Linked DNA regions of Lonchura striata. The protein of the gene in region 1 interacts with the protein of each later gene in a biochemical or structural test. Links are inferred from orthologs where the notes say so. Each region holds a gene or a part of one and is shown on either strand. Other genes may lie near its edges.

Evidence for each region.
Region 2: the proteins of MIS18BP1 (region 1) and MIS18A form a complex in vitro, tested with the Homo sapiens proteins (2 studies listed by BioGRID). The link is inferred for Lonchura striata from reciprocal best matches to the Homo sapiens genes MIS18BP1 and MIS18A.

The regions. Positions count from the first base shown.
Region 1 is NC_134608.1:1,095,891-1,107,402, reverse strand, and holds the start of MIS18BP1 (mis18-binding protein 1), read left to right. Parts: upstream 1-6,647; 5' UTR 6,648-6,778; coding exon 6,779-7,220; intron 7,221-7,473; coding exon 7,474-7,979; intron 7,980-8,720; coding exon 8,721-8,797; intron 8,798-9,401; coding exon 9,402-9,529; intron 9,530-10,607; coding exon 10,608-10,698; intron 10,699-10,930; coding exon 10,931-11,094; intron 11,095-11,512. UniProt on the Homo sapiens protein: Required for recruitment of CENPA to centromeres and normal chromosome segregation during mitosis.
Region 2 is NC_134603.1:157,146,939-157,157,600, forward strand, and holds the start of MIS18A (protein Mis18-alpha), read left to right. Parts: upstream 1-5,510; 5' UTR 5,511-5,511; coding exon 5,512-5,803; intron 5,804-5,895; coding exon 5,896-5,962; intron 5,963-6,641; coding exon 6,642-6,764; intron 6,765-9,138; coding exon 9,139-9,232; intron 9,233-9,917; coding exon 9,918-9,988; coding exon of another isoform or gene 9,989-9,998; exon of another isoform or gene 9,999-10,662. UniProt on the Homo sapiens protein: Required for recruitment of CENPA to centromeres and normal chromosome segregation during mitosis.

The DNA.
Region 1 (11,512 bases):
CACTCGCACACCGAAACAAGAAAGCAGCAGCCAAGCACTACAGGGAATATTAAGGAATGCATTCCAGCAGCAGTGGGAAAATGAGAGGGGAATTAAAAATGAGCTCAGGTTGTGACAGCTGTGGGACAGGACTGAGGGCAGCACTCAGGAGCCCGTGGGGGTACGTGTTCCTAGGGAACCCTGCTGGGCAGGGGAGCAGCTGGAAACTCAAAGCAAAACCATTCCAGGTAGGAGGGAAGGAAGGCACAGTTTTCTCACGGAGGTGACAGTCACCAGAACAACTGCCTAAGAGTTGGGGCTGTTTCCTTTACAAGTCAGAAATCATTCACTGAAACCCAGAATGTCCTGAGCTGGGAGGGACCCACAGGATCATCCCAGCCCCATCCCGGCCCAGCTCCCCAAAATCCCACCCTGTCCATCCCTGGCAGCGCTGCCCAAAGGCTCCTGCAGCTCCGGCAGCCTCGGGGCCGTGCCCGTGCCCTGGGGAGCCTGGGCAGTGCCAGCCCCTCTGGGGAAGAGCCTTTCCCTGATTCCAGCCTGAGCTGCCTGGCCCAGCCCCAGCTGCTCCCGGGGTGCTGTCCCTGGCAGTGTCATTTCTGTGCCTCACGTGGCAGCAAAATCAGCCAAAACGCTCGTGTGGTGCGAGGGGACCGCGAGCGGGAGGGCGGCAGCAGCAGCTCCGTGTGAGCGACGAGCAGCCGCAGCTTTCCCGAGGCAGCTGCGGGAATGGCCGGCTCAGCTGTGCCGCGCACCGGCCCGCTCCCGTCCCGCAGCCTGGCTCCAGCGGCTGCTCCCGGGCGGAGCGGGATCGCGGCGCTGGCAGCGGCAGGGATGCGGGCAGGGATGCGGGCAGGGATGCGGGCAGGGATGGATGGCTGCAGGCAGGGATGCGGGCAGGGATGCGGGCAGGGATGCGGGCAGGGATGGATGGCTGCGGGCAGGGATGCGGGCAGGGATGCGGGCAGGGATGCGGGCAGGGATGGATGGCTGCGGGCAGGGATGCGGGCAGGGATGCGGGCAGGGATGGATGGATGCGGGCAGGCAGCTCCTGCCACCTCGTGGGGACAGCGCTCCTCTCCCATCGCACCTGGGCGCTTCTCCTTCCCTCCGGAACGCTGGGCTTCCCCCGGCATGCAGAAATGTTCCCTCACGAGAGGAACCCCAGCCCGGGCACAGCTGCTCGTAATTCATTTTTTTTGTTGTTCATTATTTTTCTGCTATCCCTAAAGCACAACCTCCTTTCCCACTCCCTCCTTCCACCCCCCGAGCTGCTGGCTGGGAACATAAATAATCCTAAACCAGAGGAGGAAAAGATGAAATAAGAATAAAACACCCTAAGCACAGTGTGTGGTGTTCTGTCAGTCTGCTTCTTCACAGAGATACAATGAAATCCAGCAGGAAAACGTTTCCTTAGGTTTAATGAAGACTATTCACTAATAAATCAAACCTATATATGTATAAATATATGAAATATAAGTATTTTCTTCCAGCTGCCCCAAACAAAATAAACATTTGGGTTTTGCTTCCAGACATGCAATTAATTAAGATCCCAGAAAGCTGAATAAATATTTTTCTTATACCTCTATACCTGATATATATAATTTACAGGATTTGATTAATTGACAAGACTTGTCAAAGGAACCTCCCAAATAAAGGGAAAAACCTTAAATATTTCCATGAAAAAACACAGAAAAGCACACCCCCCTCAGCCAAACAGCATGCAGGGGTGTTCTGGGGTTTCTCCCCAGTTTATCCCCACACTGCAGATCTCACCGAGGTGTCTGGGCTGTACAACCCACACCACAGACTTTTGGGGTGGAATTTCTGCAGCTGCTGCCAAAACTGCTGATCCACCCAGGGCAGAAACTTCAGCTGCATGGGTTGCACCTCCACTGGGACCTAAAGAGGCAGAAGTCTGGAAGGGGCACTTGGAAAAGTTTTTAGAATGGAATCATCATCCTTGCCCCATGAATTTTTTTTTTTTTTTCCATGAAGATTTTGATTGCCATCAGCCACCTTCCCAAAGAGAAGCAGCAGGATTCCCAGTTTTAGGTGCTTCCTGGTAATTGCAGAGATCCACATGGATAAATCCCAGTAAAACCCACTTTCCTCCTTCTAAACCCACAGCACAAGCAGCCGATGAGGCTCAGAAGTCACTTAGAGGCCTTGAGCTAAATCTGCATTTATTGTTTCCAGGTGCACCTCTCTGCCCCAGAACCACTGACACTCAACAAAAATCAAATTATCTCTTTTACCCTCAACAGCTTTTCCTGTTTCATCTGGATTAGTCTTTCTTTTCTGAATAATAGACCCGATCTCTTCCTTTATGGAACAAACAGCAAACAAGCTTAAAATATATTCAAGAAATGCCATTTATGGGAAAAAAAAATGTATTTCTGCCAGAGGGGAAATTTAGATGGAATATTGGGATTTAGGAATTCCTGGCTGGGAGGTTGGAGAGGGGCTGGGCTGGAATTGCCAGAGCAGCTGTGGCTGCCCCTGGACCCCTGGCAGTGCCCAAGGCCAGGTTGGACACTGGGGTTGGAGCAGCCTGGGACACTGGAAGGTGTCCTTGCCCATCCAGGGGTGGCACTGGGTGGGATTGAAGGTCCCTTCCCACCCAAACCATCCTGGGATTCCATTTGGGAAGCTCCACTGGCATCTGGTAACACAAACAAGAGGGGACCTGCTCAGCCATGCTAATGTATCTTAGGAATTCTAACAAAATTTGTAGGAATTCCACAGCTACCCAAATTACACCCACAAATCTCACACACGCGTTTGTTCCTGGAAAGGAGGAATTTCTCCTTGGGAAATTGGGCTGAGGGTGTGTGCTTTCCTGTGTTTTTTTCATAGAAATGTTTAAAGTTTTTCCCTTTTTTTGGAAGGTTCCTTTGACAAGTCTTGTCAGTTAATTAATCAATCCTGTATATTGAGTATAGAGGTATAAAAATAAATGTTTATTCAGCTTTTTGGGATCTTAAATCTTGACTTCCTGTGGATTTTTTGTTCCTGGAATGAAGCACAATGGTGGCTTCTGCAACTAACTGGAGCAAAACGAATTTTCTTTGCTTTTGATCATTTAGGCAAAAGCTGAGCAGATAAGGAGTTAAGAAATATCTGTAAGGAGTAAATGATGGCTTGAACAGGGGGTTTTGTGCTTTTTAAGGACACATGAACCAAATGCAGCCATGCCAACTGTGTGAAGTCAGTGCATCAGAAACCACAATCAGACATTTCACTGATGCAAACCCTAAACACAGCTTGTTATCCCTGTCGTAACTTTTCCATGGTCTCATTCTCTATTCCACCTACACATCTGCCAGCCCCATTCCTTCCCTGGGAAGCTCCAGCAGGACTGTCAGAGCCCAGCACATCCCTCTGGCTGCCCTGGCTGCTCCAGACCCTGGCACAAAGTCACAAACACCCGTGGCTTCCATCTTAGCCTGTGGAAAAAGCTGCCAACTCTGTGTGAGGAATTACAGCCACAAGAGTTTGAGTAGTGTGGGAGTTAACACAGGGTGGAAAAGTAGAATTTTGGGGTTTTTAGAATGGGGTTCAGGGGTACAAGATGGAGGAATTTGGACATATCCTGACCTTCTTCTTGCCCTCCATGTCTTGCTGTGCTGGTGACACTTTTCTGTTGGTTTAAGGTACAGACACACTGTCCAACATAGATGATAGATATTGGCTATATTGTAAATATAGCCAATATAGCGCACATTGTAAATATATTGTAAATATAGCACACATAACTTTTGAGTATATAATGTAAACTCTGCCCGAGGTGAGACGCAGATTGCCATGGCCGAGCTGCTGGACAGAGCTCAGCAGGGCAGAGAAAGAATGTTCTGGATAAGGAAAAATAAACACCCTTGAGAAGCTGATCCTGCACATTCAGACTTCTTTAGCTGCATGGCCTGGGAAACAAGGGCTTTTACACTCTTGGGGTCAGCCCAGCACCGAGACCCTGAGACAGGAGCAGCCTAGGAGCCAAGGCCAGGCAGATGCCAGCAGAGGAAATGCAAAGCTCCCTTGTGTTTCCATGGCCCCCTCCCCTGACACTCACCTGCCTCTGATCCCGCACTGCAGCCCTGGGGGCTCCTTCTCCCGAATTCTCTGGGGAGCAGCAAGCACAGCTCCCTCTCTGCTCTGTTAACTGGCCTGCTAATTAGCACGTGCATCTCCTGCAATGAACCCAGTCTTTCATTATTTTAACAAGCTGAAAAGCAGCAAACAGGACCCCAAATTAACACCTTGTTTCTAAAGACAGCTGTTTATTATCAACAGGCACACACTGAAGTAATTTTGTACCCAGACCTGAGTTTCTAACTCACCTGCTGGGATTAATTTGGGAATCAGACACACCTGATCCCACTGCAGCTGCTTGTTAGCAGGACTACAGCTGGCTACACCTGTGACTCCAATTTATCCTCTATTTTTTATGCATTATTCAAGTAACTTCCCCTGTTTGCCGCTTGACCTCTGAACCCCTACTACACGATCTTCCGGCCGGGACACACCAGAGCCTGCCAGGCCTGGGGCTCTGCCTCCGCCGGCTCCCGCACACCGCAAAGGCTCCGGCGAGCCGCGGCTGCGCCCCGCGGCGCTCCCGGGGCTCTTCGTAAGCTCCGGACCTTCCCGTGGAGCCGCGTCCCGGCCCCGCCTCAGCCCCGGCCCGATCCGGTTCCCCCTTCAGCCCCATCTCGGCCCGGCCCCGTTCCGTCCCCGCCTCGGCCCCGTTCCGTCCCCGCCTCGGCCCCGTTCCGTCCCCGCCTCAGCCCCGTTCCGGTCCCGCCTCAGCCCCATCTCGGCCCGGCCCCGTTCCGTCCCCGCCTCAGCCCGCCCCTCTCAGCGCTAACGGTTGCGGAGCCCGCCCACAGGCGGACCGAACCACCATGCCGAGGGGAGGGGAGCTCGAGCATAGCCCGGGCCTGCTCCCGCCTGCCTCAACGCCATCCGGCAAGGTTTTTATTTCGTAACACCCCCCCGCGCCCGCGCTCGGTGGTCTCGGCCCGCAGCTCCGCCAATCGGCGGGCGCGGCGGCGGCGCTCGAATCTGTGCGCGGGCCCGTGAGGGGAGCGCGGCGGGCCGGGAGCGCCGCCGGGCCTGTCCGCGGCCATGGCGGGGCCGGGGCTCGCCGGGGACCGCCGCGGCGGGGTCTGCGACATTATCGCCACCCCCAGCCGCCGCTCCGCCTGTGGACAGCCGCCAGTGCGCTCGGTGTTCCTCAGCAGCATTCCCGCGGGGACGCTCACCCCGCTGAAGCAGCTCCTGCAGGGCCAGGGCAGCGGCGCGGCCGCGGGTGGCCGCGCCTCGGGCTCGCAGCTCGGGGAGCCGGAGCGCCGGGATGATGGCGACAGCCGGGCCGGGCCCGATCTCCAGAGCCGGGCCGGGCCCGATCTCCAGAGCCGGCCCGGGCCCGATCTCCCGAGCCGGCCCGGGCCCGATCTCCACGGCCGGGCCGGCCCCGATCTCCAGAGCCGGCCCGGGCCCGATCTCCAGAGCCGGCCCGGGCCCGATCTCCAGAGCCGGGCCGGCCCCGATCTCCACGGCCGGGCCGGGCCCGATCTCCAGAGCCGGGCCGGGCCCGATCTCCCGAGCCGGGCCGGCCCCGATCTCCGGAGCCGGGCCGGGCCCGATCTCCCGGGCCGGGCCGGGCCCGCCGCCGAGCGGCCGCCGCAGCGGAGCCTTGCTGCGGAGCCGGCCGCGCAGGAGTCGCCGCTCAGGATCTTCCAGCGGATGAAGGCGCGGGCGGAGCGGCAGCGCGCTGTCGCCCCCGACGTGATCCTGAGCCCCGCGGCCCCGCAGCACCGCAGCGCCCAGCCCGGAGCAGGTGAGTTGTACGAGCCCCCGGTGACTCCACGGGAATGGTGTGAATGCCGGTGTGGATAGCTGGAATAAAGAGCGCAAAGGTGTAAGTAAACCTGAGTTTGGGTCACAGAACTTCTAGGCGTCTTGTGTTGTAGTAAGTGACATCCCTGATTTTCACGTTCTCCTAGACCTCTTCATTCTTTACACTAGTCCACAATGCCAAATTACAGGAATTATTAGCAGTTCTTTTTCCCGAACGGTTTTTATTATTTTGGAGCACACTGGAGTCTCCTGTTGAAAGGAAAGAGCTCTCAAAGCTGCTAGCAATTGCCTTAATCCTTTCTCCTTGGAAGGCCCATGGAGAGGACAAAGCCCCTTGACACCAACACCTTGGGAAGCAATGATTGTTCCACAGCTTCTCCAGGAGAGCTGTCTCAGGTGTGAACATTTTCCCTCTGGTCCCGCTCATGGCTCTTCCAGGATCTGAGAAGAGCAGCCAGAGCCCCTTGGTGGCTGTAGAAAACATCAGCACTGGTTGCACCCCAGCTGCTGGGATTAAAAAAAGTTGGGTGGTGAAGTTTTTTAGTGCTGAAATATGTCTGCAGCAGTGCTGATGTCTCTTCCCTGCTCTGTATCGTAGAGGATTCCCTCCCTTTGGGTTTCCTTCCCCTCTGCCTCGCTATGGCTCTAATTGTTCTTTATGTTGTGTTCATGAGTGGGTTGGATGTGTGCAACACCTTCAAAAACACCTTGTAACTAAAACCAAAATTGCTGTAGCTATTCCTTATGGTCTGTGCAGGGAAGAGAAATGTTCATGGAACCGTGCCTGGGGTTTGAAATCCCACTGGGGTACGTTCCTGGGCTCTCCCTGCTGGTTTTTATCATTATCCATGACATGGTGAGATCCAGTGCCCTCTCAGCAGGTTTGCAGCTGGCACCGAGCTGGATGTGACCCTTTTTTACAATGGGGGTGGGCAGGCCCTGGCACAGAGAGGAAAGAGAGGAAAAGAGCAGCTGTGGCTGCCCCTGGATCCCTGGCAGTGCCCGAGGCCAGGCTGGACAGGGCTGGGAGCAGCCTGGGACAGTGGGAGGTGTCCCTGCCATGGCAGGGGGTGGAATGGGATGGGTTTTAAGGTCCTTTCCTACTCAAACCTTTCTGGGACTCTGTGGGGATTTTTTTAATAAAAAGCATATAAAAGATCATATTGTTCCCACCTCCGCCCCCCATGAAATGTTTTTCTTCCATAAATCTAAAGAGGGTTTTGGGGTTTGTTTGTCTGGTTGTTTTCCAGAGCCAATTTTGCCTCATGTTCCCAGGGAAGAGCCCCCAGCAGAGCCTCCCGTGCTGGAAACCCCCCAGAAGTTCTTCCTGCGGGTGAAGTGGCAGCTGCTGCAGCAGCAACAAGGTACTGGGCTTGCTCTGAGAACACAAACTCCCTGCAGGCAGAGAGCCATGGCACTGCTGAGCTTGGGAAAGCCCTCTGAGGCCATCAAGTCCAACTGTTCCCCCAGGACTCTCCCCTGTCCCCAAGTGCCACATCCACAGGGCTTTAAATCCCTCCTGGCATGGGTCTCCCCCACCCCCTAGGCAGCCTCTTCCCATGCTTAAACATCCCTAATTTTTTTGTTATTCCTTTTTTTTTTTATTTAAATGGGCAGCTAGAACACCTTCAACCCAAACCCAGCAGAATGTTCCTCCTCCCACAACTGCAGAGAATCCTTCAGGGCAGCCTGCTGGTGCTGAGCAGCCAGGGAATGAGCCTGCACAGGATGTGGACTCTGATAAGGATGATGTGGATGTTTTCCTGGTGGAATCTATAGAAGTAGATGCTGATGGAGAAATGTCTCGAAGTGCAGTGTCTACTCCTTTGCAAGTGAACTCCACCCCTTTGAAAAACGGGGATTGGGCGAGAGGAAGGTGGGGAAATGGAGAACATAGAGAGCTTCATGAAGACAGGAGAGAGCTGCAGCCCAGCAAAAAACCAGCTGCTCCAGCAGTGGAAAAGGCACCCGAGGCTAATCCTGAAAAGTCCCCCCAGCGCTTCTGTAGCATCATGCTCTGCTCTCCAGTCCAAATCCCAAGGAAGCAGAAGCTGGCAGAAGAACCCAAGGCCCCTTCGGATAAACCTCCTACTGATCAACCTGCTGGCAAAGCACACAAAGAGGTGGGAGAAAATAATCCCTGAGGGAAAATTAGAAATTCCTCTGGGCTGATAGCTGGAAGTTATTCTTTTTCTTGTCAAAAGCAAGGAACACTGAGAGGAGAATAAATTGTTATTCCATTAGATTTTACCAGTAAATTTTCCCGTGCAAAGGGTTCCTTTTTTTCCATGCTCCAAGATGACAAACGTTGAGGGTCTGGATTTTTTTATGTAAAAGAAGCACTTTTGGTTTAGTGTGCACAAGCCATGGTGTGATCAAGGGCCCTGCCAGCTCCTGGCTGCCTGCTCAGATCCAGAGAGGAGAGACCTTTCCCAGCTGGGCATGAATCCATCCAGGAATGCGCTGTTGGGCAGGGGAAGGGCTTGGCTTTCCTATGGAGCATCCAGCCTCCTGATCAATTTAACTGGAGCAGAATCTCTTCCTAGGAGAGCAGTGCTGCATCCCTGGGATTCCCTGGCACAAGCACACCTGCCCAAGGCCTGTGCTTTCCTTGTTCTCTGGGGAAATCTGGGATTGCAAGGGACTTGTTCTCTTCTTCCTCACCATGGCCTAGAGTGTTTGTTTCTGAACTAAACCAAGTTACCTTCAGGACTGAGCCGAGGATCAGATATCCTCTAGTATTCCAGATTTGTAGCTTAGAAGATACTGAAAGAGATACTTCTGTTATTGGATCTGATCACTGAGGGGGCCTAGGTAATAAATACTTCTAAATGATTTATTTTCTTTTTTTTTATCTGAAACAGAAAAACATCTGCCTGAACAGTTGGAGGATTAAAGTGCTGCCTGGAAACATGGCAATCTGTGTGGATGGGAAAAGGAAGTAAGAACCAATTTATTATTTAAATGTAAAGTAAACCATGGACATCAAACATGAGGTAATGGTGCAGAGCTTAGATTTTGTCAAGGAAGAGAGACAATTCCTTTGTGTGGGCAAGAGGAGGAGAGCCAGCATCCAGGGAGCTACTGGTGAACTCATTTCAGAGTCCTGTGCTGAGATAATCAGAAAGCTTCAGAGAAATAAATCAAGTATCAAATAGCTCTGGACAGTTTGGGTTGGGAGGGACCTTAGAGCCCATCCAGCCCCACCCCTGCCAAGGGCAGGGACACCTCCCGCTGTCCCAGGCTGCTCCAAGCCCCCTCCAAGCTGGGCTGCAGTAATGAGCTGGCTTCATCCCAGCTGCTGTCCCACGAGTGACACCTGCAGCGGTGACTCGTTCACTTTGTCCCTGCCCCGGTGTCAGGCACAGAGGCAGAGCTGTGTCATTCCCGGCTAAGAAGGAAAACTGAGCCCAGAGCACATCCTGCCTGCACCTGAATCCCTCAGAAAGCAGGGATCACCACCCCTCCCTGATGGAGTGCCAGCATTCCAGACTGCAGTCCCTTCTGGAGGTGATTTCCGTGGTTGCTGTTGTGTCTTTTGCCAGGGACACGAACCAGCTGTGGCACAGCAGCGCCGTCACCGAGCGCATCACTCACAACCAGGTGCAGACCTCCTCGGGAACTGTCTACCTGCTGCAGGGCAAGATAGACACAGCTGCCATGAGGAAGGAGGGTGAGCTGCTGATTCTGAATGCCTTACAAATAACAGACTCTTTCAGCTTGCTTTGGAGCATGTGGGATTTGTAAGGAAATGGGATTTCCATGCAGATGGAAATACAGGACTTGTTCTCCTTGCTCTGTGTGCTGCTCTGGCACGTTGGCTGGGAATGAGCTGCTTGTCAGTGCTCACAGGCAGCTCTGAGGACACAAAGATTAGTTGGAATCATGGAGCTGGAGGGACCCACAGGGATCATCCCAATCATAGCCCTGCCCAGCTCCCCAAAATCCCACCCTGTCCATCCCTGGCAGCGCTGCCCAAAGGCTCCTGGAGCTCCGGCAGCCTCGGGGCTGTGCCCATTCCCTGGGGAGCCTGGGCAGTGCCAGCCCCTCTGGGGAAGAGCCTTTCCTGATTCCAGCCTGAGCCTCCACCCCACTTCCAGCTCCAGCCGTTCCCTCAGCATTACTTCCCCTAACACAGGTGTGCCCCAGGTGTGTTACACCATATTTACACAACACTCCCTCACTGTGGGCTCTTTCAGGCCCATGGATGGAACCCAGGGCACAGGGAATATTTCTCTGCCTGTCCTGAGATATCCTGATCCCCAGGAGAACACTGCTTTTAACCTTTGTCTATAGAGAAAGCTTCCAAGACTTTGGGATGAATTGGAATCTGAGTGTGTGAAGTCAACAGTAGTATAGTTTATCACAGAGTGAAAAATTTAGAGTTTTGGGTTTTTAGTATGGAGGTGGAGAGAAGACAAGACAGAGGATTTGGGTTTTGTCGGTTTTGTCTGATCTTCTTTTTGTTCTTCATCTGCTCCATTGAAGATTTTATTACTTTGCTAAGAAGTTATATTTGTTTCTATATTAATATTCTGAGAAGGAAAAGTAGCAGCATAAGGCTTGTGAGCAGAGTGGCTCTAGTGCTGCAGAGGTTTCCTAGACCCAAGAGTGAGTGGAGTGTGCTGGATGGAATAGTCTGGGCCAGTTCCTCTGATGTTGGGGTTCAAGAGGCTCTGGGGGTTCTCCGGTGCCCCGAGGGAGTGCAAGCCCTGCTGAGCTGCTGTTCGTGTCCCCTGTGCTCCCCTCAGGGTTCCCCTACCGCTTCATCAAGAAGTTCACCTTTGGCTTCAACAGAAGGTGGAAGGAGTACGTGGAGGAGTTTCTTGAGGAAAGGAGGAGGTAACTTCTTCGGACATTCTCTATCATTGCAGTGTTCTAAGTGTTCATTGAGGCTTTGCTTTTTGAGGGTATTACAGCAGAGGAGTGTGAAATGTTTTAGATGTGGGCATGAAACCACTCTGCTGTGCTGGGCCACCAGGCTCCTGCCCACCAGGGCTTCACATCCTCCCTTTTGTTAAAGAACAGCTTCCTCAGTGGCTGTTATTTCTTGTCTCAAACTCCAAACCATCAGGAAAGAAGGAGTTCAAGATAGTTGTGGGGAGGAAAACGAGAAGAGTGACTCCATGGGGGGAACTGATGTGTTGGAGACCACAGAAAGCTCAGCAAGCAGTGCAAAGAGACCTGCACTGAGAAACTCCACCTATGAGGTATCACCAGGGAATGATGAGAACATCTGTGAGTATTTAACAATCCTTTCCTTTGGAAAAGACACTGGGGCTGTCTGGAGTGGGTTGTGTTGGTTGTGTTTCCAGGAAATGGCTGTAAAGCTGTAAAGGCCCCTGCTTTGGCTCAGCCTCTGAGTGCAGTGCCTGCCTCACCACGGCACTGACAGCTCTGGGGTTTAACTCGGCTCTGGGGTTTAACTTTTCCTTGTCCAATGGGCCTTTCCCAAACCCCATGGTGCTGTTTGTTAGTGCTGGAATCAGGTTTTCTTGCTAGCACTGTAAAAGCTTTTCACTCATTACTCCCATTTATATTTCGCTCTTATTTGTCTCAGTGAGCAGCATGTGACAACTTTTCTTTATCATTCTCCCTCCTCAAATGACTTTCACAGTATTTATAACCTTTTAAACAAAGTAAAAGTAAAAAGTTC
Region 2 (10,662 bases), on another chromosome or scaffold:
AAACTGCCTTTTTAAAATTGTTTTTATTACCCTTTGTGAGCATACCAGAGGCCCTAGGTGCCAATAAATGAGAATATTAGTGCTCCCTTTGACTGCTGTTTCCCTTCCCTCTGCTTGTTTCTGACCTAATCCTGAATCTCTGACCAGCCTGCTGAGCTGAATTTTCTGATGATAAAAGGAGGAGCAGTGGGTCAGGAGACACTCCGACCAAATACTGACAGAAGTGTCCCCTCTGTGCAGTTATAAACGTTATGTGTCATTGCTGCGTCACTGGAGGCAGTGAATGTTTCCTACAGGTTATTTTTTCACACCAGTATCTACTTCATCTCTGGTTATACTTACTTTGCTGGCGTTGATCCGGAGCAGGACATACACAGCAAAACAAGGAAAAGAAACATCACAAACGCAGCAAGGCCGACCCAAAAGGCAATGACGATGGAGTCTGTGGGCACAGCAGAGTAATTCTGTCATGTGCATTCTGCATGGCAGAAATAAAACACAGTGAGATGGTTTATCATCTCTAATAAAGGTGTGCCGTTTGAATCATTCCGTTTCTCCTTTCAGAGAGAGGACTCCAAGTGCCAATTTGTTAAAGGTCTTGGGAACCTCCTAACAGGGTATGGCAGCAGGGATGAGGGAAGGGCTGGGAAAAGCCTCCAGAGAGTGTTCTGGTGGCAACATCTGGTGCAGATGTTGGAACATGGCTCCTTTTACATAACCATAGTGCAGAAAGCCTGAGTGGTTACTGCCTAATTCTGCAGGATCTTTCAGGAGAGGCCCCCAGGAAGGGAATTCCAGCCTTGAGAGCAGTTTATACCAAGAGAAATTGCAAGGGGAGTTTGTTGCCAAGTGCCTGTGCCCCTCCCAGCACATCAGTGCAGTGGAAGAGAATGTGCCCCTTGCCCTGTTCAGCTGCAGTGCCCCTGCAGCCACCATAGAAGAGGGCAAGATGCTGCCTGCTTTGCCAGGAGCACATGGTTTATTTCAGGAACAAGAGGGCTGGCAGTGCCAAAGTGTGTCCACAGCCAGTTTAGAGGGAGTGTGAGGTGGCTGGGGGAGCAAAGGGAGCTGCTCTTTCATGGAGGCTTCAGTGCTGTGCTGATTTTATTGCCTGAGCCTTGGGCTCACTTGAGGGAGGGGACGGATCTGCTCCTGCCCCCACAGCACCTTTGGCCACTGGTTCAAAAACGCTCCTTCCTGGTGTCACTGTGGTGCTGGTGGTGTCCTTGGGAAGTTTGGGTGCTCTGCCCTACATTCACAGCTGGTGGCTTACTTCAGATGAGGTGGAAAAAGAAGGGTCACTGACTCCAAGACAAATATTGACCAAGACAAAATAAATCTTCCCTCTGCAAGTACAGAAAACATTGTGTTCTTTGAAACAGGTCCAGTATGTTTGATTGAGTGCTTCTTTGTGAAAAAAGTTCAGTCTGTGTTGGCATCAAAGCCACAAATAGATTAAGGGAATGAGCCCAGCTCCTTTTAAACCCAAAACTAGAGCTGGCCCAGCTGTTCCCTCATCAGAAACAGGAGTTTAGGCTGGGCTACTGAAAAATATCAGTGGGGAGGGCAGCTTGTTTTATTCTTCCTTTACCCAGGGACATTTTGAAAAGCCCAGAGTTTTGAAGTGTTCCACACCATTGGGACAGAAATTAAGAGTTTGGATTTATAGAATTCCCTGTCAGAGCTATTTTGGCTTTTTCTTTTACAAACAATTATAATAGATGTTATGGAATTCACCGAAGCCAAATAAATTGGCTTCAGGGCTCGGGTGGAGCTTGAATCAAGATTTCCTAGGTTTAAATTCTGCAATTAATTGGTTTTTGCTTGTTTGCTTTTGTTTGGTGTGGTTTTTTTTTCTTTAACTGGAATAATGTATTTTCGTATTTTACCAATCTATAAAAACTTTCCTATTGCTAAATTTTGCCATCACATTTTGTGCATATGTGTGTGAGTGCTTATAAATAGCCTATTAGATCATGGGCCAATTAAGATTTTTCATTATTTTTGTAGAAAATTGAGAGAGATGCACAACATTACAAATAGAAAACTTTTCATCTGGGTTTACCTTCATTTTTATGAGACAAATTCAGTCTCAAAAAGTTTCAGGAACTAGCCACACATAGAGGAAAAGAAGTGCAGAGATTCAGGTCTGTGTTTCATATTAAAAAAAACCCAAAACCTAGCAGGCAAAAGTGAACAAGGGAACTGCAACCCCATCGCAGTGTTATGGAACTGTGTAATTCCCTGGGGCTGCCCCAGCAATGGCCCTGAGCACATGGAGCCGATAATCCCAGCAGCAGCTTCTCAGGGAATAAGAATGTAAATATACAAAGACAAACTATATTCATTGCTTGACTGGTGCCTTTACTCAAAACAACAAAAAATCCCAACCAGCTGTTGGGAATTATTTCCCTTGGTGTTTTCATTAGAACTTGTAACCTGCTGATCTCCCACTGGTATTTGGAGAAGGAAGAATAATAGTACCAAGAGGATGCACTCTCTATTCCTCCTAGGCTGCTGACATGGAAAAAATGTCTATTTTCATCTTCTTAGAGTACAAAAATGCCTGAAAGGTGGTAAACTTCTCTATTTCTCGGGGGGGGGGGGGGGTGTCAGAACAAGTGGGACTAAAAAGTCAATACAAAATCAGTTTACCCTGCTTTTTAATGGAAATAAGGCTGATGAGATCACTCTTAGGCACATATGGGGTAATTTCCTCCATAAAACTGTCAACAAATTTAAATTAACAGAGGGTGAGCATCTTGTCTCAGAAGCACAGTTTCTATAAATTTCAAGAAAACAGGCAGCAGAATTAAAATACTGTATCAAGGAGGGAAGTGCCACAACACAAATACCATCTCTGTTACGCACTGGGTGATCCAAATGATAGTAAAATGTTATTAAGGAGAAAATGGGGGAAGGTTTATTCCTGATTTTTGGGTTTTGCTATGCCAGCCACATGCCAAAGACTTACATCTAGCTTAGCTAAGCAGTTTGGGGTTTCTCTAGTTGAATTTGGGGGTAATCATCTGCCCTAACTTTAAAATTGAGAGAATCAGAGGAGCTGCTCATAATTTTCCTGGTCCCAGCACCACCAAATGTTGCTCTGCAACATTAGAGAGCAAGATTTTCTTTACAGAAGGATCTGGATATTCACACCACTTTCTTTAAGGTGAGGCGCTCTAAGTTTGGAGGCAATAAACCCTCAGCTGATCTGAATGCACAGAAAAACTTTTCTAGAGGGGGTGCAGAGTAAGTTTCTCCTTTTTCCTACTGCTGTTCAGGCAAGAGAAGGACAAGCAGCTCCTAACACAGAATTCAACCTCCACCATCAGAAAGGCAGTTTCTTGCATTTTTAGTGAGAGAGACAAGATTCTGAAAGGCAATCGCAATTTCTGGGAACAGATAATAATTTCGCTGTAGTAACCTTGGGAAAAACAATTTTAGTCTGTGAATCCACATCTGAACAGTTACAGCCATCTTCAGTAAACTAAAGAGCAATGAGTAAACCCTGTAACTTTGTTAATGAACTGAAGATACAACCACAGGCAGAGGCTTGACAGAAATCAAGGGAAAGCACTGTCTGCAGCCAAGTGACTCCAACACACCCTGCCTGCTCTCCCTTGGTCTTTGTCAGCCCACCCATCACCCTCGGTTAATCCGCTGGGACACAGCTTGTCATTTTATTTTAGCAAAACCTAATCAGTGCAGTTACATTAGAAAAACCAAAATCATTTGCCACTACAAGTAGCCATAACAAGACACTGCTGTTTCACTGTGCAAAGCCAGGTGTGAAATGGAATGAGCTATGGCAAGGTCAGATTGGTGAATGCTACTTCATATCCTTTGGAAATAAACTGCAAAGCCCAGCAGAATCGGTTTCCGCAGCAGCAAAGCATTTGCACAATAATGGATACTATTACTTTATTAGTTCAGCAGCACTAAATCAAAGGAGGAAAGGTCAAAGAATAGGTTTGCAGCTTATTGTTCCTGGCTAGTGGAAACATATATTTCCTTTACTAAAAGTCTGAATGTTTACCCATTGCAATGTCAGCCTTGTCTCAAGATGAAAACACAGTATTTTTATGAAAACCTCTGCTCTTTCAGTGAACTTTGGTGACAGTAGCACACAGATAACCAGCACGCCGCACTACAGATTTGCAAGTCATCAAATTTCCCCTTAGCAAATGACCAAAAAAAAAAAAAAAATCTGTCCTTGTAAAGAAGAATTAGTGTCAGCAGTCTTATAGCTTCAAATACTGTAAGATAAAGCCCAGAGTGTTTGTTAGTAATTATCCAGCCTGAAGGCAAACACATATTCACACAAACCAGGCACTGGCATGGACTCTGTTGCAGAAAACAAAACCAGGTCAGTGAGACAAGGTACCCAACATTTTCCCTGTGTAAGATTAGCACCTACCACTCCACAATACTTACATTTATTAACCTTCAACTTGCTTCCATCTACTGGAATTGGATCTATGTAATCCCAGTAATATTCATAAGACCAGAAATACTCCGAGGAGTTTGTTCTGTTAGCCATGTCAGTGGTGCCTTTTAAGCCAGCTCAGAACTCTGACCCACTACTTTGCTTCGCAGCACTGCAGCGCCCTCAGAAAGACAATTGCACAACTGGTGTCTGTGCCAATCACTCTGGGGTCCTGCAGCTCAAGGGCTGCCTTGGGACTGAAAACATTTCGTGGCAATGAGTGTTAATGTATGACAGAGATGTACGAGGAGCCCTGAAAACGCAATCCTCGCTTCTTGCCGGTCACTCATGTTATTTCTCAGGATGTTTTAAACTGAGATGGGTGCCCTGTAACTTAGGGACAGGTTGGACAAGTGCCAGCTGGATCACAGACCCTTCTTTTCGAGCAGTGCACTGTTCCTGGGAGCTCCCGAGCACAGCCGGGCTGGAAAACATTCCTGAATGTATCTGGATGGAAAGGACTGGGGTCTGGAGGGGTCACGCCAGGAGTGGCTGAGGACACTTGGCCTCTTCAGCCTGGAGGAGACTGAGGTCAGAGCTCACCGGGAGCTGCAGCTCCGGTCTCTGCTGCCCGTGAGCAGGACAGGACCCAGAGAAGAGCTGGAGCTGGATCCGGAGGGGTTTAGGTTGGCGATCAGGAAAGGCTCTTCCCCAGAGGGGCTGGCACTGCTCAGGCTCCCCGGGGCACGGGCACGGCCCCGAGGCTGCCAGAACTGCAGGAGCCTTTGGAAAGCGCTGCCAGGGATGCCCAGGGTGGGACTGTTGGTGTCTGGGCAGGGCAAGGGTGGCACTGGATGGTCCCTGGGGGTCCCTTCCAGCTCAGGGGGGGATCCCTGACTTAGGAGCGACCTGATAAATCGCCTCATACAAAACCGATGTACCGGAATAACCACACCCTTTGTCGTAGTTCCGTGCCCTTACGAGGTCCGAACGCCGCACGGGCGGCGCGGGCGGGCCCCGGGGAGCGGTTCCGGGGCAGCCCCGGCGAGCGGGGCGGGCGGCGCGGGGGCGGTTCCGGGTCGATGTCCGCCGTCACTGCCGCTTCCTCGGCGGGCCATTCGAAGGCGATGCTGGGGGCCACTGCCGGTCCCTCGGCGGGCGGGCAGGACCCGATGGCGCTCTGCCCGGAGCTGGAGTACTCGCTGTCGCTGCTGGAGCCGGGCGGCGGCCGGGCCGAGCGGCAGAAGCGAGAGCGGCGGGCGGACGCGGCCCCCATGCCCATGGTGTTCATGTGCACCGGCTGCAGGCGGCCCGTGGGCGACACCTCGAGCTGGGTGTCCAACGACGAGGAGACCGGCTGCATCCTGCTGCGTAGTGAGTGCCGGCCCCGCAGCCCCGGCGTGTCCCCGCCGTCCCTCTGCCATCCCTCCTGCCATCCCTCCTTCCCTCCCTCTCTCCCGCTGCAGGTGCGGCCGCCAGCGTCGCCGTGGACCCAGAGCGGAAGGTCTCCAAGCTGCCCGGCGAGTGCGGATGGTGAGGGCCGGTCCTGGCCGGGCACAGCGCCGGGCACCGCCGGGGCTTCGCGGGGAAGGCGCTGAGGACAAGCCCGACCAAGGCCCCGGGGTGCTCGTGGGCCCCCAGAGCCCCTGGAACTCTTATGTGGGGTGCTCTGTACAAGCGCTTGTGGCCTAAGGCAGAGGGATTTCTCACAGGGACACAGAGCCATTGGCAAGGGGAATGGCATTAGGATGAAGGAAGGCAGGTTTAGATGAAATATCAGAGGAAGTTTTTCCCTGTGAGGGTGGGCAGGCCCTGGTTCAGCTTGCCCAGAGCAGCTGTGGCTGCCTCTGGATCCCTGGCAGTGTCCCAGGCCAGGCTGGACACTGGGGCTGGGAGCAGCCTGGGACATTGGAAGGTATCCCTGCCCACAGCAGGGGGTGGAATGGGATGAGCTTTAATGTCCCGACCACCATTTAGTGATTCTGATGGTCTTCCTGAGGTCAGTCAGCCTGAGGAGCTATTGCAAATTCAGGCTGAAAGATGAATGCTCATAATTTACAATGTGTAAAGCAAGAATGAATACCTAAAAAAATTCTAATGCATAGGGAGGCTTTTTTTTTTGTGTGTGTGTTTTTTGTTTTTTTTTTTTAAGAAAAAGGATGGGGAGAAGTTTTCCTTTTATTTTCTTCTAAATAAATGTTATTTCTTACAGCATGGTAGAAACCTTATTCTGCTCTGGCTGCTCAACGACACTTGGCAGCATCTACAGGTGCACCTCAAGGAACCTCGACTATAAGAGAGATTTGTTCTGTTTCAGTATTGACTCCATTGACAGGTAAAGACAGAATGTTTGTGGGTCAGCCTGCCAGTTCCACTTCACTCACCAGGCATCACACTGAGGGTGCTCCTGTCATATCTCTGGGAAGTCTCGAGGGAGCTTTTCCTGCTGCTCTGTCCCAGAGTGGTTTTCTGTGTTGCTGCTGTTGGCATCAGAGTGCTCAGCTGTGAGGAACTGCCGTTTGTATGAGAAATTGCATTCCAGCCAAGAAAATATCACCAGGTCCAGGGCACGGGAAGGGTCCTTCTCATTTGATCAGAGGAGTGCCCAAACCAAGCTCCAGATAGGCCTGTCTGGAGTCCTTAGGGGTCGGATTATCAGCAGGAAGTGTGGCCAGAGGGGCTCAGGCAGAACTTGGGGCGTGTCCAACCTGCACTGCTCTGTCCTTGCTAAGGTGGCATTATGGTTTGACACTGGCACAATGTCAGCGCTTTAATGAAAATTTACGTTTTTTAACTGAATGCTGTGAGATGTGATTAGGAACAGAGCAGAGCAGGCTTGAGCTTAAAAACAAAGGAGAAAACTTTATTATTTTACAACTACAATAAAAGGAATACACAGAATTTAGGATGAAAACCTTTTAAACATTCTACTCAATTTCTACTAAAACACAGTGAGACACAACTCTGGATTCTTGATTAAGTTACTATTCTTTAGATAATTAATTTTTAGTTTATCAAGGGAGAGACGAGTTTGTCTTGTGTTATAGATCTCTAAGAAACACAATTGTAACTTCTTGTGTTTCTGTGTCACACATGGTACTGTCTGGAGAAAATTTGCTGTTGTGACACTTTCCCTTCCATGTCACAGTGCTCCCACCACTGTGCATGGACTGAAGCTGCTTATAGGGTTTATTTTTAAGGATGTTTTGCTAAGGACTAAAAGAGTAACAGTTTTTTCTTTTTGGGATAACAGTCCCCACCATTTTTTCCTTCTCTGGGGCTGAGGGTCTCAAGAACAGAGATAATATTTTTTTTTTGAAGCTAGAGGGTTCTGCTATACCCTCTTTAACTTTTTTTCTTTGTTTACTTTACTCTTGTACATTTTTAGCTTAAGTAATTTTATCCTCTTAAAAATGCAGTCTCTGTCTTGTAGGAGAAAATTGTTTTAGTCTATGGCAATACAAGAAAAGTCTAGCTAAGGCTACTCTAGTATTTCTTTCTACTTAGCCTTCTTCCCTCATTTTCTTCTGACATTTCGGTCTTAGGCTATCTCTTTTCTTTTAGATTAAGGAGGAGTAAGGTTTTGTAAAGTTTTTTTTTTTCAGGAAAGGGTTAAAAGTATTAAGCTCCCAGGATGGGTGAGATCTTACAGTAGGCTGCTAAACTCTTATGGCTGGGCACTTGCTTTTCTCTTATTTTTGTTTTCTTTGTGGTGTACTGCTGGCACATGATGTTAAATTTTTAGGTGGAACGGGCTCTTTCTTTTTCTCTCTCTCTCTCTCTCTGGGAGTTTGCTTGGGACATTTTAGTGGCTTTTTTACCTTTATGTCTTGTGGGGCAGCTGGTTTGGTTTCATTCTCCTCACCCATCTTTCTTTTTCTGGGTCTCTGATCTGCTTCAGTTACTGGTGGCATGGCTTCCCCTCTCTACTCGTGGTGGACTGGAACAGAAGAGAGAGTTCTCTTGGGAGTTCTTTGCTTTTAACCCCCTGTGTTCTCAGAGGCGTGTCTAATGCTTTTAGTGGTCACTTTAAGTGTTAATATCTAAACTTGATGACTGATTAATTTGACTCCAACTTTTAGAGAACACTCACTTCTATGTCAAACTATAATAGGTGGGCAAAGGCAAATCTGACAGCTGAGTATGTGCTTGACACTCTCACTCAGCCCTCTTAAAATCTGTCTAGAAAATGAAAGTGTGCATGGGTTTAGTCAGTTTATAGCACTGAAAAGTGGTCTTAAGGTGTTCTTCAGTAAGTATATAGTGAATCACAGCTTTATGCCAATGTTCTTTTATGCAAGCATTGTTCTAATGGACAGTGTTCACCCAAACTAGTTTTAATGCCTCTGTTTTTTTCTGAAGTTCACATTTATTTTGCTGTATTGCTGTGGATGTTCACCCTTGTGCTCTGCACAGTGCGTTTGGGTTTTTTTCTTAATTCTACAGCTGTGATACCTTATTTTTTGGCAGTAAAATGGCATGGCAGTAAAATTCTCTACAGCACTAACCTGGGTGCAGAATGCACTTTTCTTGGAGAATAATGCTGCTTCTCCCAGCCAGCGCTGCACTGTTCCTGGTGTCTGTGCAATTTTTCACTGCATCCTGCAGCTTCAGAATCCATGGCTGCCTCTCAGGGTTCTGGAGGAGTGCCGTGTCTGGATTTTTGGCTTCAGAGTGAGAAGTGCATGATCTAAACTGTGGCATCTCAGCTATGTTCTAGGAACCCCAGCAAAGCAAGCTCTTATTCATGAGGAACCGCTTACTCTTGAAAGTCGAGCTGTCTTGCAGGAGGTGCTGGAAAAGGTGAGATTTAACCTCATACCATTCTTTGTCTAAATCACCTCTGTGAAACCTTAATGTTCTTCAACACTTTATTTGGAACAGCTTATTTCACCCAGAGTAATTCAGTGCATTGTAGCATGTCATTGGTATCTTGAGTTATTCAAGATTTTCAGTAACTTTTCCTTCCATTTTTATGGTAATTAGCATTTTCTGTTTATCAAGCACAGCATTAGGTTCCTATTTATGTCTCAGTAATTTGGTATGTTTTTTCTAGTTAGTTCTGATTCACTTCTACAGATCTTCACTTAACTTTTAGTCATGTTTCTTCTTGCCTTTCGTGCAAATTGACTTACTGCTTTTGCTGTAGCTTTGTATTGAAATCTAAAATCATAAATCAAGTTGATGTTTTGCTCTACTAAAATCTTGTGACTGCAGGTAGAAAGAGCTGGGAGCAAATAGTGTAAGGAAGTTGTCCAGCTAAGCTGAGTGTGTTGCTCTGACACCGAGGCTGGAAAATTGTCCACTGTGTGGACAGTGAATGTTAGAGTTGGGTGAGCTTTCAAAGTATGAGAGCAGCAGGGAAAGAATCGAATGAAAAGAATCGGTGGTGTGAGATGAGATTTGAGCCCTTTTTAACATCCACATGTGCTCTTTGTGTTGTCAAATCCTGTGTGTAAGCCAGAATCTCTTCCTGGCTATTTTGCAGGTGGATGTGATACTCAAAGCTCTGGAGACAAGGCTGAGCACTGTCGAGTCATGCGTGGCTGCTCTGCACAGGCAAGTGTGACAGGAAATACATGCTGAGCTGCCGGAGAAGGCGAATGTGAGCCTTGGCCCTGCCATCCTCTGGGATCTCTGGGAACATTGCAAGGACTGGGAAAGAGCTGAGAGCCATGGAAGCAGCGCTGACCGAGGCTGTGTCCCAGCCAAGGAGTTCCTTTTATGTTCCTTAAGAGGATACCCCAGGGCTTTTTTTCTTAATAAAGACTTCTGATCAGACAATCTGTTGATTTCTGATTTAATGTAAATATTTATTTAAATTTTTGTCTCTGAAAGCAAAACATTTATCTCCTGACTTCCCTGCTATTCAGTATCTGCTGAGCTAAGCTAAGGAAAAACCTCCCTGTGATTCTGTAATTTTGAAAGAACCAGCATTAAGTCACTTATATTTTTCTTGTCTCCATAGCTTTAGTTTGTCTCGTGCTCAAAGACAGGAATGACTCAAGAACGATATGGGGTGAATTGTTAGTTTGGCGGGGTTTTTTTGCAAGTTCAGGGAGAAAATGTGATGTAAGAAAAGGCTTTTTTTGCAGCATTAGATTTTTGCAGCATTGCAGCTTTTCAAGCTTTCTAAGTAAGTCACTTCATTCCAATTTAAACTCTCTTGAAATATGCTTGATATGTTTTTTTTTTCATTATTATGTTAAGTTTTTATTTTGGTTTGATTTGGC